2 linked regions of the Stegostoma tigrinum genome follow. The protein of the gene in region 1 purifies or fractionates together with the protein of each later gene. This does not show direct contact. Links are inferred from orthologs where the notes say so. Each region holds a gene or a part of one and is shown in the gene's direction. Other genes may lie near its edges.

What was found.
Region 2: the proteins of cdk13 (region 1) and ccnk purify together in Homo sapiens (affinity purification with mass spectrometry; 4 studies listed by BioGRID and IntAct, counting the BioPlex papers as one, with this or other methods). This does not show direct contact. The link is inferred for Stegostoma tigrinum from reciprocal best matches to the Homo sapiens genes CDK13 and CCNK.

Annotation. Positions count from the first base shown.
Region 1 is NC_081358.1:9,972,730-9,980,144, reverse strand, and holds the start of cdk13 (cyclin-dependent kinase 13), read left to right. Parts: upstream 1-4,359; 5' UTR 4,360-4,748; coding exon 4,749-5,746; intron 5,747-7,415. UniProt on the Homo sapiens protein: Cyclin-dependent kinase which displays CTD kinase activity and is required for RNA splicing.
Region 2 is NC_081363.1:18,537,624-18,544,914, reverse strand, and holds the start of ccnk (cyclin-K), read left to right. Parts: upstream 1-4,277; 5' UTR 4,278-4,343; coding exon 4,344-4,483; exon of another isoform or gene 4,484-4,678; intron 4,679-7,291. UniProt on the Homo sapiens protein: Regulatory subunit of cyclin-dependent kinases that mediates activation of target kinases.

The DNA of each region.
Region 1 (7,415 bases):
ACCCATCTTTCCAACTAGGTCTTGTCACCATCTTCTAATTTGACTCTGGTAGGGGCATGGAATGCATTGTCGGAGAGGGCAGTGGAGTTGGCCTCATTAGGGGCATTTAAGCAGCTATTAGATAGGCATGTGGATAGTGTAAGGTAGTGATGGAGGTTAGATAAACCTTATGTTTCAGGTAAAAGTTTGGCACAACATCGTGGGCCAAAGGGCCTGGACTGTTCTATGTTGAAGACGCCAGCAAATTTATTCAATTAATAACTCTTCTGTACCCTTTTTATTTCAGTAAAGAGTTTGCCCTGCTTGTTCCTGGTGTCCTACTCGAAACTTTGCTAATCTTTTATTAACATGTTTGAAGAGCATTGAGCTATTTGTTTTATTGCAACCTGTGATCTCTTTTCTGATGCTTCCTTTTTAGCCATTTTGCTATCCTTAACGCCTCTCCTGCCTTTGATAAATCTGTTCCTGAATTCTATTGCTATTATTAGCTTCAGATAATCTTGCTGTATGATTGGCTATGCATTGCAATTGCAATGTGTCGGGCCTGCAGATTCAATGTGCTAACAATCCTTTCAATAGATTTGTGCCCTAATTCCTTTAATCAACAATTGTGTGAATTTGGCAAAAGGTTCAGAGCTTGCAGCAGCCAATTGTCATTGTGAAAAGTTTAGCATGCCCCTGGCTTTCCAATTTTTACTTAGTGCAGAAAATTCTCACTGCTAGGTACCTTTTCTTTAGTTTTCTTGGCAGAGTTTCTTTCTTTATGTAGTGGCAAAATGTGACTGTCAAAAGGTGCTAATAGTACCTCCGGGTTCAGCAACATGTAGGATATTTTCAATTGTGAGTATGGAACTTGGCTTGTGTGACTACTTAGTGAATGAACTCAATAGCAAATATTTTAATGAATTGCCACTGCAGCCCAAGTCAAAATTCAACATGTGCCTGCTAGCCACTGTTCTGTTCAGCTAAGGTGCTGTTTAGAGTAGTTACATAATAGATGTTGTTTTTGGATTAAAATGCAAACTGAAAATTTGTGATTGCTCAATGTCATGATTATCCATATTGTAAACTGAATATGAAAATAAAACTGGATTGAGGGTTGCATTTATCTATAAAGTGTGCAAACACATTAAAGTAAATCAACTTTTCTGGCTATCACGGTTGAAGGCATTGCATAGGTGTAGATACAAATGATCAATCAACTCTTGTGCTCCAGCAGAGTGGTGAGGGCGTTGTGACGATTTGGGAAAGATCTGCGGCCAATTATGATTATTTCTATCCACATTGGGATTAGGAAAAAACTGAAGCAGTGTTAGCATCTACAGGTAGCACAGACTTTGAGTTATACTAGATGACAAGTTCAGGCCATGACCATCTCTCCATGACACAAAAAGGCATTACTATTGCTGACTCTCATTAATCAAACTGGACTGGAACAGCTGTGCAAATTCTGTAGCTACAAGAACCAGTCAGAGGCTGAGAATTAACTTGCTTTGAGTTCCAAAGCCTGACTACCATCTATAAGTTAGGTCAGGAATAAGGTGTAAATAGTCTTCACTTAACTGGCTGAATGTGACTTAACACTTAGCTTAACACTTTTCAGGACAAAACAGGCTATTTGATCAGCACTTATTCAGCCACTTTGAACATTCAATCTTTTGACCACTTGTGTGGAGTGGCAGCAATGTATGCTGGATGAGAAAGGGAAATATGATAGATGCTCAGAGCTTGATGATATTTCTGAAGTATGTACTTTTTAACTTGGTTAACCAATCTTCTGCTATCCCTGCTTCTCTTAGCTTGCCTGTGAGAGAGGCTACTTGGACCAGGTAATTTATTCATTGTAACCAGCCTTTCCAAAGTTTTTGTTTTCATTTTCATCTCATTATCTCTATCTCTACCATTCCATTCGTTTTAATTCCATTAAATTTCTCTTTATCTAGTACTAGGTGCTAGCCAAGGAGTAGCAGTCAAGAAAGAAGTTAGTTAAATGGAGCTGTGTGTTGACAGTGTGCGTGCTGCAAGTACTACTTGAATAATGTCATGAGGGAAGCATGTAGATTAGAAATAGGAGCCAGGAATCGATTTCTGGGATCCAGCTGGGTAGGAGAACTGTTAGTTGATCATCCTAACAATCTGTTAAATGATGGGGTGTCACAAGGTAGTAGGATACCACCTGGTGACTGACTATTAGGAGAAATTAATTATGACAAAGTGTGGGAGATAATGGGAACTGCAGATGCTGGAGATTCCAAGATAATAAAATGTGAGGCTGGATGAACACAGCAGGCCAAGCGGCATCTCAGCAGCACAAAAGCGGACGTTTCGGGCCTAGACCTTCCTTCAGAGACGGGGATGGGGAGAGGGTTCTGGGATAAATAGGGAGAGAGGGGGAGGTGGACCGAAGTTGGAGGGAAAAGAAGATAGGTGGACAGGGGCGTATAGGTGGGTAAGTAGGGAGGGGATAGGTCAGTCCAGGGAAGACGGACAGGTCAAGGAGGTGGGATGAGATTAGTAGGTAGGAAATAGGTGGCTGGAGGTGGAAGGAAGGGATGGGTGAGAGGGAGACAGGCTGGGCTGGTTTTGGGATGCAGTGGGGGAAGGGGAGATTTTGAAGCTTGTGAAGTCCACATTGATACCATTGGGCTGCAGGGTTCCCAAGTGGAATATGAGTTGCCGTTCCTGCAATCTTTGGGTGGCATCGTTGTGACACTGCAGGGGGTCCCATGATGGACATGTCGTCTGAGGAAGGGAAGGGAGATTTAAAATGTTTCGCGACTGGCAGGTGCAGTTGTTTATTGCAAACTGAGCGGAGGTGTTCTGCAAAGCAGTCCCCAAGCCTCTGCTTGGTTTCCCCAATGTAAAGGAAGCCACACTGGGTACAATGGATGCAGTATACCACATTGGCAGATGTGTAGGTGAACATCTGCTTAATATGGAAAGTACCGAATGGTATCAATGTGGACTTCACAAGCTTCAAAATCTCCCCTTCCCCCACTGCATCCCAAAACCAGCCCAGCCTGTCTCCGCCTCCCTAACCTGTTCTTCCTTTCACCCATCCCTTCCTCCCACCTCAAGCCGCACCTCCACTTCCTACTAACCTCATCCTACCACCTTGACCTATCCCCTTCCTACTTCCCCACCTCTATGCCCCTCTCCAACTATCATCTTTTCTGTCCATCTTTGGTCTACCTCCCCCTTTCTCCCTAATTCAGAACCCTCTCCCTATCCCCCTCTCCGATGAAGGGTCTAGCCCCGAAACGTCAGCTTTTGTGCTCATGAGATGCTGCTTGGCCTGCTGTGTTCATCCAGCTTCACACTTTGTTATCTTGGATTCTCCAGCATCTGCAGTTCCCATTATCACTATTAGGAGAAATTAGTTCCTTTCTCCTTCCCAGTTGTTACAGCCGTTTAATCTCCAACTGGAGTCCCTAGTCCAACAGGGGGAAAAATATTACCTGAAAAGCTGCTTTTAGACTGAATTGTACTTCAGATTTCCTAGCATTTGTTGTGTTTTTGTCTTAAGCAATAAAATTTGTTCAAGGTAAAGTAGTTTTGAACAGGGAAATGTGGGTACTTGGACTCTTGTCAGCTAATTAGCATAGCTTTTCAGGGCTTGACAACTTTATATTTCTTCATTTGTTTAGGATTTAGAGGCTACACTATTTAAAAAGATGCTGAAAGTGGCAAAACGTTCATAGAAGAGGGGTGTGAATAGGGTAAAAGCTCGAGGAAAGATTTAAAATGAACTACCTGAGGCAGGCGTAATTCCGTTTAAAAGGCTGCTGGATGGGTATATGAAGCGGAAGGGTCCACATTAAGCTAGAATATGTGGTGGGCGTTCAAAAGAAATTTTTTTGGGGGTGGGGGAGAGGGGACTGTTCTTATGCTGTACAAATGAGTCTTGGCTGCTGAGGTCAAAAATCACATGGCACTAGGTTCATTGGAAAATATCAACTTTCCAGACCCTCCACATTTCTATCCAGCGTGCTTGGGCTAGTGGTGGTCCAGCGGTACAAAGAGCTGCACAAGAGAAATGTTGTGATGAGTTTCGTGCTACTAACCTAATTTTTGCAAATAAAAGTCCTCTGTTGTGCAAGATAACAAAGTGTGATGCTGGATGAACACAGCAGGCCAAGCAGCATCTCATGAGCACAAAAGCTGACGTTTCGGGCCTGGACCCTTCATCAGATCCGGCGCCTCCTCTGTTGTGCAACTGTGTTATCCAGGTCTTGTTTCTCTCTCTCTCTCTCTCTCTCTTACACACCCCCTCCCTCATGTACATCGAGGACGAGAGACATTATCACCGCCTCCTCCTCCTCCTCTCCAACTGCCTGGAGGCTCGCCCCGGAAGTGAACGGGCAGGGCAGGGTTAGCCGCACGGTCGCGGCTGGTCTACACCCCGCAACCACCCAAAACCGGGAGGCGGCCATTTTGTGAGTCGGCGCAGAGGCGGCGAGTGTTGCGCGCGCTGCGGGGGCCGGGGACGAGCCGACGCTGTTAGAGCGAAGAGGAGCGAGAGGGGGGGCGCTAAGAGCCTGTTTCTCTCTCTCCACCACCCCCCCCCCCTCCACCGCTGCGGCACCAAACTCCCACAGGCGGTAGGCCCAGCTTCCCTCCCGGCTTCGCTTTTTATTTTCCGCCGATTTCTCTTCCCTCGCCCGGAGACCGGGAATGCGCGGCAGCTCCGAGCGGATGGAGTGAGCGGCCCCGGAGCTGGAGGGGGATACGGGGAGTCGCGGAAGTCAATGCCGAGTTCGGATACGCGCGGCGGGAGCCGGGGTCGCAGCCCCAGCGGGAGGAGACACCAGAGCCAGAGCGGCCCGGCTCCGGCCCAGGCCCGGGATAAAGGCCGCTGCTCGACCGCCGCCGCCGCCTCGTCCGCTCCTCCTCGCCCTTCGTCGCGTTCGCGGCGCAGGAAACGCCGCAGGAAGCGCTCGGCCGAGAGCCGGGCCCAGCGGAGGGACGGCAAGTACCCGGGGTCCGCCGCGGCAGCCTGCTCGGCTTCGGGCTCCTCGGCCCTCCCGCTCCGCGGCCTGGTCGAGTACGAGGACGTGAGCTCACAGTCGGAGAATTTCGGCTTCAGCCCCGCGTCTTCAGCTGGGCGCCGGGCCGAGCGATCCCGCGACAAGGAGAGGCGCAGACGGGACAAGGGCAAAGAGAGCTCCCGGTCCAGGGCGGACGGCAAGGCCAAGAGTAAAAGCCGGAGCCGGAACAAAGCCGGGGCGGCGGCCGAGCAGCCGGCCCAAGGCGACAAGGAGGCCCGGGGAGGCCGCGGTTCGCACCGCACCGACAAAGAGACGCCCGCGGCTTACAGAGAGCCTCCGCCGCGGGCCTACCGGGAAGCCGACTGGGAGGCTCCGCGGGCCTACCGCACCTCGACCTCTCCCGGGCCCCGCAGTCCGCCTTACCGGGAGCAGAGCCCCTACGGTACATCTGTCTCGTGTTACCCGCAGGCTTACGGGGTCACCTCCGGCCATAGCCCCAGCAGGCCCCCTGCCTTCGAGCTGTACAGCCCTCCGCCGCCGCTCTTCGCTTTCAAGCCGCTGTACAGCTCGCGGGAGTCGGCGTTACACGCCGGCTATACCGGTCGTTCTCCCAGCCCTTACCCGACTTCACGCCGCCGCTCTCCCAGCTTCTCCAGGCACCTTAGTCCCTATGATTATGGCGCTCTGTCCCCCGCTCCCTACTCCTCCAGCAGTCGGCGACGCTCGTCCAGTCCTTACAGCCGGAGCCCGGAACTCAGGTGAGACAACAGTCTGCACATCTCGAGTGTTTGAACTATTATCGTGTTAAATATATCTAAAAATTAGTCCGAAATGTACCCCGTGTACACACATTCCTTAAAGTCGGAAGTATGTACGTGAAACATAACGTATCAAGCATCAAATATTGTAAAGAGAAAAAATGTACATCCAATGTTTCTTGAAATCGGAAAGGTAGTGTACATACATTACGCGTCATGCCCGTTTGATAAGTTCCTGCCATACATTAACTGTAGGCGTTGAATAGCGAATGCAATGTTTCTTGATACTACACAACTCATTTGGGCAGTTAAATTGTTTAAAATGTTTGGAGTCTCACATAGGATTTATGGTTTTTTTTAATTAAGTTTTAGAAGTTTTAAAAAGTCATGCTTTGTGAGAAAGCAAATTTGCAAATGATTGAATTGAACACTGAGCTTTGTACCATTAATGATAATTTTGCATTTGTGGTTTTTATGTAACAATATTTGAGAGAGTGCAACATTCGGTACTCTCTTGAAATTGCAGTTATTTAGTTTGTTTGAGGATTCAGTTCTTGACCCACTCATTCTTTATCAGCTCTTGACTGTTGGCAAAAAGAGATCTTTTCGCCATTGGGGATAACACTAGGAAGTATTTTGATATTTAGCTCTAGCTTTTTGGTAACCTGTGTAATTGAATAGTTGATGAAACACTTGTGAAACTAAAATGGTGCAGTCATAATATCGAATATTTGTTCAGCCACCTATAGCTGATGATTTGTTTTTATGATCTATTTCATGATGTGTTATTAAGAACAAATGGAAGCTTAAACTACTGCAAGTCTATATAGTGATGAACATCTGAGAAGGAGTGAGGCTACATATGAATTTTTGTCATTTTTGGGTACTGCTGTATTTCTAATTTGTATATGGTTTCTGGCGGTAATTCCCAACTTCTTTGCATCAGTGGGACTTTGAGAATCATCTGTCATTGCCAATAACTTGTAAAATCCTCATATTTCTGATAGAAATGTGTCTTGATGTTCTGAATTTGCAGTTATATGTCAACAATTTTTAAGAATAAGTAAACCTTTTATTCAAACAACTCAACTCACAAAATTTGCATGTGATTAAATAGCAAGTAAAGAATATAAGAATCATATAGGGCCTGTACTTCAAGACCTCTGGGTTTGAAAGTAATTTGCTGATCATTGTTCAGGTACCTTTTTAGAACCAGTTCAGAACAGTATAGCAGAGGAATAGACCCTCAACCTACCATGTCTGTGCTGACCATGATGCTATTTCTAAACTAATCCCATGCTTTGTTCTGTTGGTATTGAAAAGTAGTTTCTCGCACTAGCTGCTTGGGCTTTCTCAAATAACTTCCTATATCTTAGCTTCATAGCTGTACAATACTGTTCCATTTAGAATGGTGGAGATAAGACCACACAACTGTTTGCCTTCTCTAGCTATATAATATGTTATTTTGTAGTTTGAGCTTGACTTCTGAAATTTGGCCAAAATTCTCTGAAAAATGTGTGCACATGGTGTATTATGAGGTGTGCAATCATTATTTTCCTGCTTGTAAAATAGAAAAAGAATATCAGAGGGTAAAACATTAAACATGTTCTGCAATATTTTTGCCCAAACCCCAAACCATCCTAATTGACATTGCTGTTTCTTGGTCAAA
Region 2 (7,291 bases), on another chromosome or scaffold:
TCTCTGCTTGGTAAATAGCAACCATTTACTGAAACATACAATGCTAAAACATGACGGAAAAAAAACAAGAAAACTCACTCCTCCAAATGTCATTGCAGAACATTTATAAGTGAAACATTATTACACATAATAATAACTTACACTCAGTCTTGGATTCAGCACACATTATCACAGCTAAAAACAAATTATTTGGAAATGATTAGAACCTAGCTACATGTAAATTGACTGCCTGTTTCCTACATAATAACAGTAACTACACTTCCAAAGAAGATAAATTAGCTTTGAAGTACTATGGGTTATCTTTCAGGAAAAAACATCACTGTTATAAATGTGAGTTTTTTTTTGGAGAATCTGTCTGGGCAATTTTGTTTTCTTTCCTTTAGTATTTCTTGGGATATGGGTGTTATCAACAAGTCCAGCATTTGTTACCCATTTCTAATTGCCCGTGAACTGAGTGACCTACTCAGTCACTTCAAGTGGGGTAGTTGAAAGTAAACCACATTGCTGTAGCTATCAAGTCACATACAGGCCAGACAATGTTAGGACAGCAGACTTCCTTCCTTAAGGGGTATCAGTGAAGCAGATTTATTAACTGAAATCAAATTCTACAAAACATCTGTGGAGGAATTAAAACCCATATTTCCAGTGGAAATATGAATTACATCACGACATAATAATCATAGAACCCCATTCAGCCCAAGAAGTGCACACCAACCCGTCAAAGAGCATTCCATCCAAACTCATTCCTTAAACCTGCACTTCAGTACTAGTAGATAATGCAACTAACCTGGATTTCCCTGAACACTATTGGAAATTGAACATGGCCAATCCACCTAACTTGCATATCTTCGGACTGTAGGAGGAATCCAGGGCACCCAATGGAAACCCACACAGACATGGCGAGAACAGTAAAACCCCATGCAAACAGTTGACCGAGGCTAGAATTGAACCCAGGTCCCAGGGTCTGTGAGGCAGCAGCGCTAACCACTGAGCCACTGTGCTTTCCCCCACATGACTGACATTGTTTTTTAAATTCACTTGTGGAACATTGTCCTTTCTAAAAAATTGTTTTAGTCCATAAGCGTTGAATCAAATTAAGCACATCTAAGCTAGATGTAGGAGAGTTGAAACTTTTCAAACAATGCTCCTTTATTTCCTTTTTCTAGGATAGTTGGATAATCTTCTCTTACAAATACGAATCAAGTTTTTCGCATTCTCCATCTGTCTTGTTCTGCAATCTCTCCCACAATGAAAAAAAAGGGCAAATCCTGAATTGTCACAATGGCCTATAACATCTCAATCAAGTATTAACTTCCGGAATATCTGAGCAAATACCCCTCATGCTTTTTATGATTTCTTTTACAATATACAGGAGAAAAAAAAATTTTGTTTTGGACTGCCTCCAAACAAGGCTGGCATTGACATACCGGGCCATGTGACCTCCTGTGCACTAAACATCTATGAATCAAAACCAGTTCATTCTTTGGCTTACCATGAGCAATGGATCAGGGGTTAGTTATACTAAAAGAAAAAGAGAAGAAGAAAAAGAGATTGCATTCATGCAATTTACACATTCTAGTCACTGAGGCAAGTCCTCCTAGAAAAGTAAAACAGTGGACAGTAACACCTTCAAATCCATACCCTAAAGTTCTATGAAATCAAAGTGTCCAGCTATACAAAATATGCCCAACTAGCCTTTCATATACATGTTTCAGATACAATGGGAACTGCAGATGCTGGAGAATCCAAGATAATAAAAAGTGTGGGGCTGGATGAACACAGCAGGCCAAGCAGCATCTTAGGAGCACAAAAGATGCTTTTGGGCCTAGACCCTTCATCAGAATTTTTTTTTTCTGAAGAAGGGTCTAGGCCTGAAACATCAGCTTTTGTGCTCCTGAGATGCTGCTTGGCCTGCTGTGTTCATCCAGCCTCACATTTTATTTGGTTGGATTCTCCAGCATCTGCAGTTCCCATTATCTCTCTCTACTACATAAAGAGAGTTGTCCAGACTGGTAAAAGTAATCAGTTGAAAGCATTATTGTAAATTTATCACTACCATCAAGAAATACTGTAACTTTGAATAAAGTAACAGAACTTTCCTAAATCAAGGATTGTCTGCTGGTATTCAAAAAACTATTCCTTTATCAACCAACACCATTTTTAAAAAATTAATTAAATTGTTGGCTGCTGCATCAGTCAACACTCCAGAAGACACAGAGCAGTGTAAATCACCAAACATTAAAAGAAAACTTGCACCTAAATAGCAAATTTCAGGGCTTCAAGACATCTCAAAGCACTTTACAGCTAATGAACTACTTTTGAAATGTGGTCATTTCTGTTGTGATGTTGGGAACATTCCTGTTTTGCAGTGACCCTTGGCGTACATATTGCCACTATGAAGGTGGATTTTCTGGATTTAGGAAAACCATCTCATTAATACTAGTATCCTACTGGAACTAGGTCTATCAATAAACAGACAAAGCCCCAGCAAAATCAATTTTGTCAGACTGATCACTGCGAACAAAAATCACCTCCCCACCAGTTCCTGTTTCCTCAATGTTCAAATGAGAAATAATCCAATGGAGGCCAAAGAAAATATTTCATGGACACTCTGAAGCTCTCCTTAAAGTACAACATCATTGACCTCAATGATTGTGAGGGTTTTCCATTATTCATTCAGAATAGTGACAATTCATCCACCAAGTACTTTGATCTATATGACAGGAATGACGCATAAAGACCCAAGGTAAAAACTCACTAGCCTGAAGAGATAGCATCTTGAATAGTGGGTCAGGTGACTACAAGAACAGTTGTCAAGCAAGAAATATAACAACTGATTTGTTCAGAGTAAACCATGCCACAAAGAACAATGCTAGTGGTCAGTTTATTTGGTTTGTTATGTTGCCTGACGGATAAACATTGGCCATGACACCACAGAGAACATCCTTCTATTGTTCACAACAGTCTTTATTCTTTCTTCATTTATGAAATGACGGCATCGCTGGCTCGGCAGCATTTATTGCCCATGAGGGCAGTTAAGAGTCAACCACATTGCTGTGCATCTGGAGTTACATGCAGGCCAGACAAGATAAGGATGGCAGTTTTCTTGCCTAAAGAACATTGGTGAACCAAATGAGTTTTTCCCCAACATTCAACAACACGGTCATTAGATTCTTAATTCCAGATATTTTATTGAATTCAAATCCCACCATCTGATTCGTCCCCAGAAGATTATCTGGGTCTCTGGATTAACAATCCAGCAATAAAACCACTAGGCCATTACTGCCCCTAACAGTACAATTTTTTGATCTGAAAAATTCTCTCTAAACGTGTCGCACTCCTTGTCTAATGGCATTAGAGCGTTAGCCCAGGTTATGGTCAAACCTCAAGTCTCTCGAGTGGAACTTGTAGCCCACACCGTTTGATCCGCGGCGAGATGGCTACACACCAAGCAAAAACTCATAATTTAAATTACAGCAACTTAATACCTTGCTACGGATCAGACAGTGCCGTCAGTGGCACTGTCCATTCGTGCTTAAAATCGAACCACTCTCGCCAAACGTCTACTTCTCCCAAATGAAGTTATATAGAACAAACGTTTAATAATTTGCTTAAAAGCCAATTTTAAAAAAAACGTCTACCTCGTCCTGATTAAACCTGGCTCTTTAACCCTGCAATGCCCAAAGTCTGACTTTGGACTTCGTGAAGATGAGGGTTTACATGATCCCTGACACTAAAAAAAAGTATGCAACAGCCAAATAAAGGGTTAAGGCTCTACAGGCCCTGCCTGCTCCATCACTCACTCATGTCCTTACACTCAGACACAAGCGCGCAAAATAAGCTAGGTACCAACGGCATTTCACACCGATAGAAGCCAATCGCAATAAAAAAAAAGCTGAAGGAAGAGAGCAACTGAATAACCTGAACACCGCAGTTGTCTGTTGAAGGAAAAATAAACCGGCAGTCACAGCAGATTGAAAAAATCACCCCAGTCAGTCAAGCTTGATGCTACCTCTCAGCCTAACTTGATAGCGACCCAAAGCGCCCACCCCGCTGCCACCGTGATTGGTTCACCTACAAGAGGCTCTCATGTCCATTGGTTCCAAGTGTCATCAATCACGAGCCATGCCGCCCCACCCGACCAGTTTGAACCGTCAAAACCCGCCCCCAGCCCTTGCAATGTACCCTGCCCCATTCCCGTCGCGGATACCGTCGATTGGATGAATGACGATACAGCCTCCCGCCAAGGCTGGCTTTCAATGGGCTGGAGCTGGCCGTCAATCAGATCACGACTTGGCGTTCCTGTTGTTAGAGGGTGGAGGAATGGGGAAGAGCGATATCAGATGCGCATGTGCGTTTACTCGTCGTCCGTGTGGGGGTGGTTTGTTCAAAATGGCGGCGCCCTGTCTGAATCGTTTGGGAAGTTTGGAGTGAAAGTGCCGGTGTCGGAGAGGGAGAAGGACAGAGAGGAAGATCGTGAGCAGTTGAGTTTGTTGGTCCGCCTTCATACTCTTTCCCCTTGTTTCTTCGGATCCTGCTGTGACTTTTGGGACCGCTCTAGTCGATTGTTTGTGGGGAAGCAGCTTAAGCTGGACGGTCGGGGCGAGAGGGAGATTTTCTGTTTGACTGTGGAGCCGAGTTTGGTGTAGTGTGAGGCCGGGCCTCAGCACTGCCTTAGGTAAGAGATCGAGCGAGGTGGGCACATGTAGTCAGCGGTGACTATTGCCGTTGTACTAGAGGTAGCTTCGCTTTTGGGCTGTGAGCTGTAACCCCCGCCTCGCATGAAAGCTGCACCGACTGCTGTTTAGGGCCCCTAGCCCCTTTGGAGGGGACAGGGATCAATAGTGGGGTTTTTATTGCAGTTTCACATCTACTGATTATACTACCCCCCCCCCCCCCACTTCACTGATGTTCAACGTACCACCCCCCCTCTCCTACCCCTCCCCCGGCCAAAATAAAGGGATATAATTTGTTTTTTTTTAAATCTTTTCATGCGTCGTGAGTAACTTTGTCTTTGAACCATTATCGGGAAGCGAGGGCGAAGGGCTTTGTAAGAACATTTGGGTGGTTTGGAGTCGCTGTACCCCTTAACTGCTGTTGTTGTGTCATTGAGGAAATCTGATCACTCGTAACACTGATTAATTATATTGATGAAACGTTAAATTATTTTAATCTACACTGAGAATCAATTTGGGAAATCTGTTTTTTTGGAGCTTCTTTTGTAGAATGTAATGTATTCTTTTTTTGGCTGACTACTTCAGAAATTGCTCTCCAAGTATATCTGCTGTTGTCCAGTTGGAAGTGTCATTATGTATGGGCTAGAATGCTTGGGTTCAAGAGGTGTGTCATAACATAGTTAATATTTTGACCCAAAGTTAACTCTTTCTGTCTCCACAGATGATACCAAACCATTGAGCTTCTCTAGCATTCTGTGTTAGTCTTAGATTTCCAGTATGTATGGTATTTTGCCTTTGTGTGTCATAACATCCCCATAGAGGTTGATTTAAAAATACCTATCCATTGTGATATCACAATATGGTGATGCAAATGCTAGAGAAAATTCAAACTGTTTTCAGTATTTTTAGCAGTAAATGTTAGCTGGGTACCCCTACTCCTCTTCAGTAGTACCTTTTGGATCTTAGTATGAGACCATGCGAATGGGCCTCAGTTTTATGTCACAAAGTGGTGACAATTCTACCAATGCAGTACCTGTCACTAGTATTGTGAATTCTTCAGTATTAGGTTTTTAAAACATTTGATGTCCACAACACTTTCCACTTGTAATAAGATGCGTAGAATGTTGGAAGCACACTTTTTCCAAATGAAAAATGAAGGAATGATATTTGTGCATCATTTCCCTGTCTCTTGATATCAACCAAATTTGTGGAGTTCCAAGGTCTTAACACTCCCCCAATTAACACCCATTGAGCAATTGGAGTGAAGTTGCTCTACTGATACTAACTGTTCCTTCTCCTGTCCAGACCAGACTCTAAGCAACGGATGTCCCTCCATAAAGGTCCTCAAATCTCATTCACTTCCTGAAATAAAAACAACAAATGTTGGAAATACTCAACAGGACTGGCAATATCTGTGAACGTAGAAACAGAGTTAATATTTCAGGTCATAGCCTGTCATCTTTTTTCTATGTCATTCCATAAAAAGTACAGCTGTTCGTTGCAATAGTATCCTGCTCAATGAGAAAGGAATTGCATTTCAACACTGACCAAGATCTTGGACCTTTCTTAGTATCACTTTATGGCTCTTTAATTGGGACTGTTAGCATTATAACCTAGACGGTTGCCTTGAGAAAGGAATTCCAGACCTTGTGGTCTTGCAGCTGAGGGCAGCCATATACCCATGAAAATCAGGGGCGTAGAAACCAGAGTTGGCGGAATACAGGAGTCTTGGGGGGTGAAGGGGTGTGCTTGTATGGCTTAAGTAATTTGCAAAGGATTTGTCGAACTTAATAGAATTTTAAAGATTGGTGTCATATCAGAATAGTCAGTCATGGAAAATGAAAATGTTAAGTTTGAGACATTGAGTCAGTGCAGGTTTGCAAAAGTTAGGTGAGTGGGACCTATGTGGGAGAGAATTTTGTTCTAGATGAATCAGTTGCAGTATCTGAAACATAGGCTGGTAAGGTGAGTATTGGATAATTGAGTCTGTGAGTGGCAAAGAGCAAAAGAAGGGTTTCAGCAGTCAATGGTGGTCATAGGCATTAAGTTGGAAATTTGAAGTCTTTTGTGGTGGGGCTGCAGTGGGTTCAAAAATTAAGATTTTTCACCAAGTAGGAGAAAAGTTGCAAGCAGCGTGCTTCACTCAAAACACTTAGTGAGAGGGTTGGTCGCAGTCAATGTCAAGGAACTGGTGATACCAAATAATATCCCAAAAGGCAGAAATCCCACAATTCCAGAACAGTTTAAATTATGGAAGGCATTCAAGTGTGAGACCACTTAATTTGCTGAAGTTGACAAATAGTTTAACAGTTTACAATGGAGACTACGTTCCCATGATCCTTAACGAGTTTCTGTTTTAGCTGAAATAAAACAAAGTTTGTAGGTGTACTCTGAACCGGTTAATCTGTGATGTAATCTCAGTATTTAGTGGCGCCACACATAGGTTTGTTAAAATAATCATATCTTTCACTTGGTCAGAAGTTAGTAAAGAAAGTTCAAATTGGCAAACTCATTTTCTTTTTGTTACACCATTTATTTCGAATGCTGAAGTTTAAATTGTTGACTGATTTCAATACTGTCAAGTTAGCACACTTACAGTTGACCTTTGTTCTTAC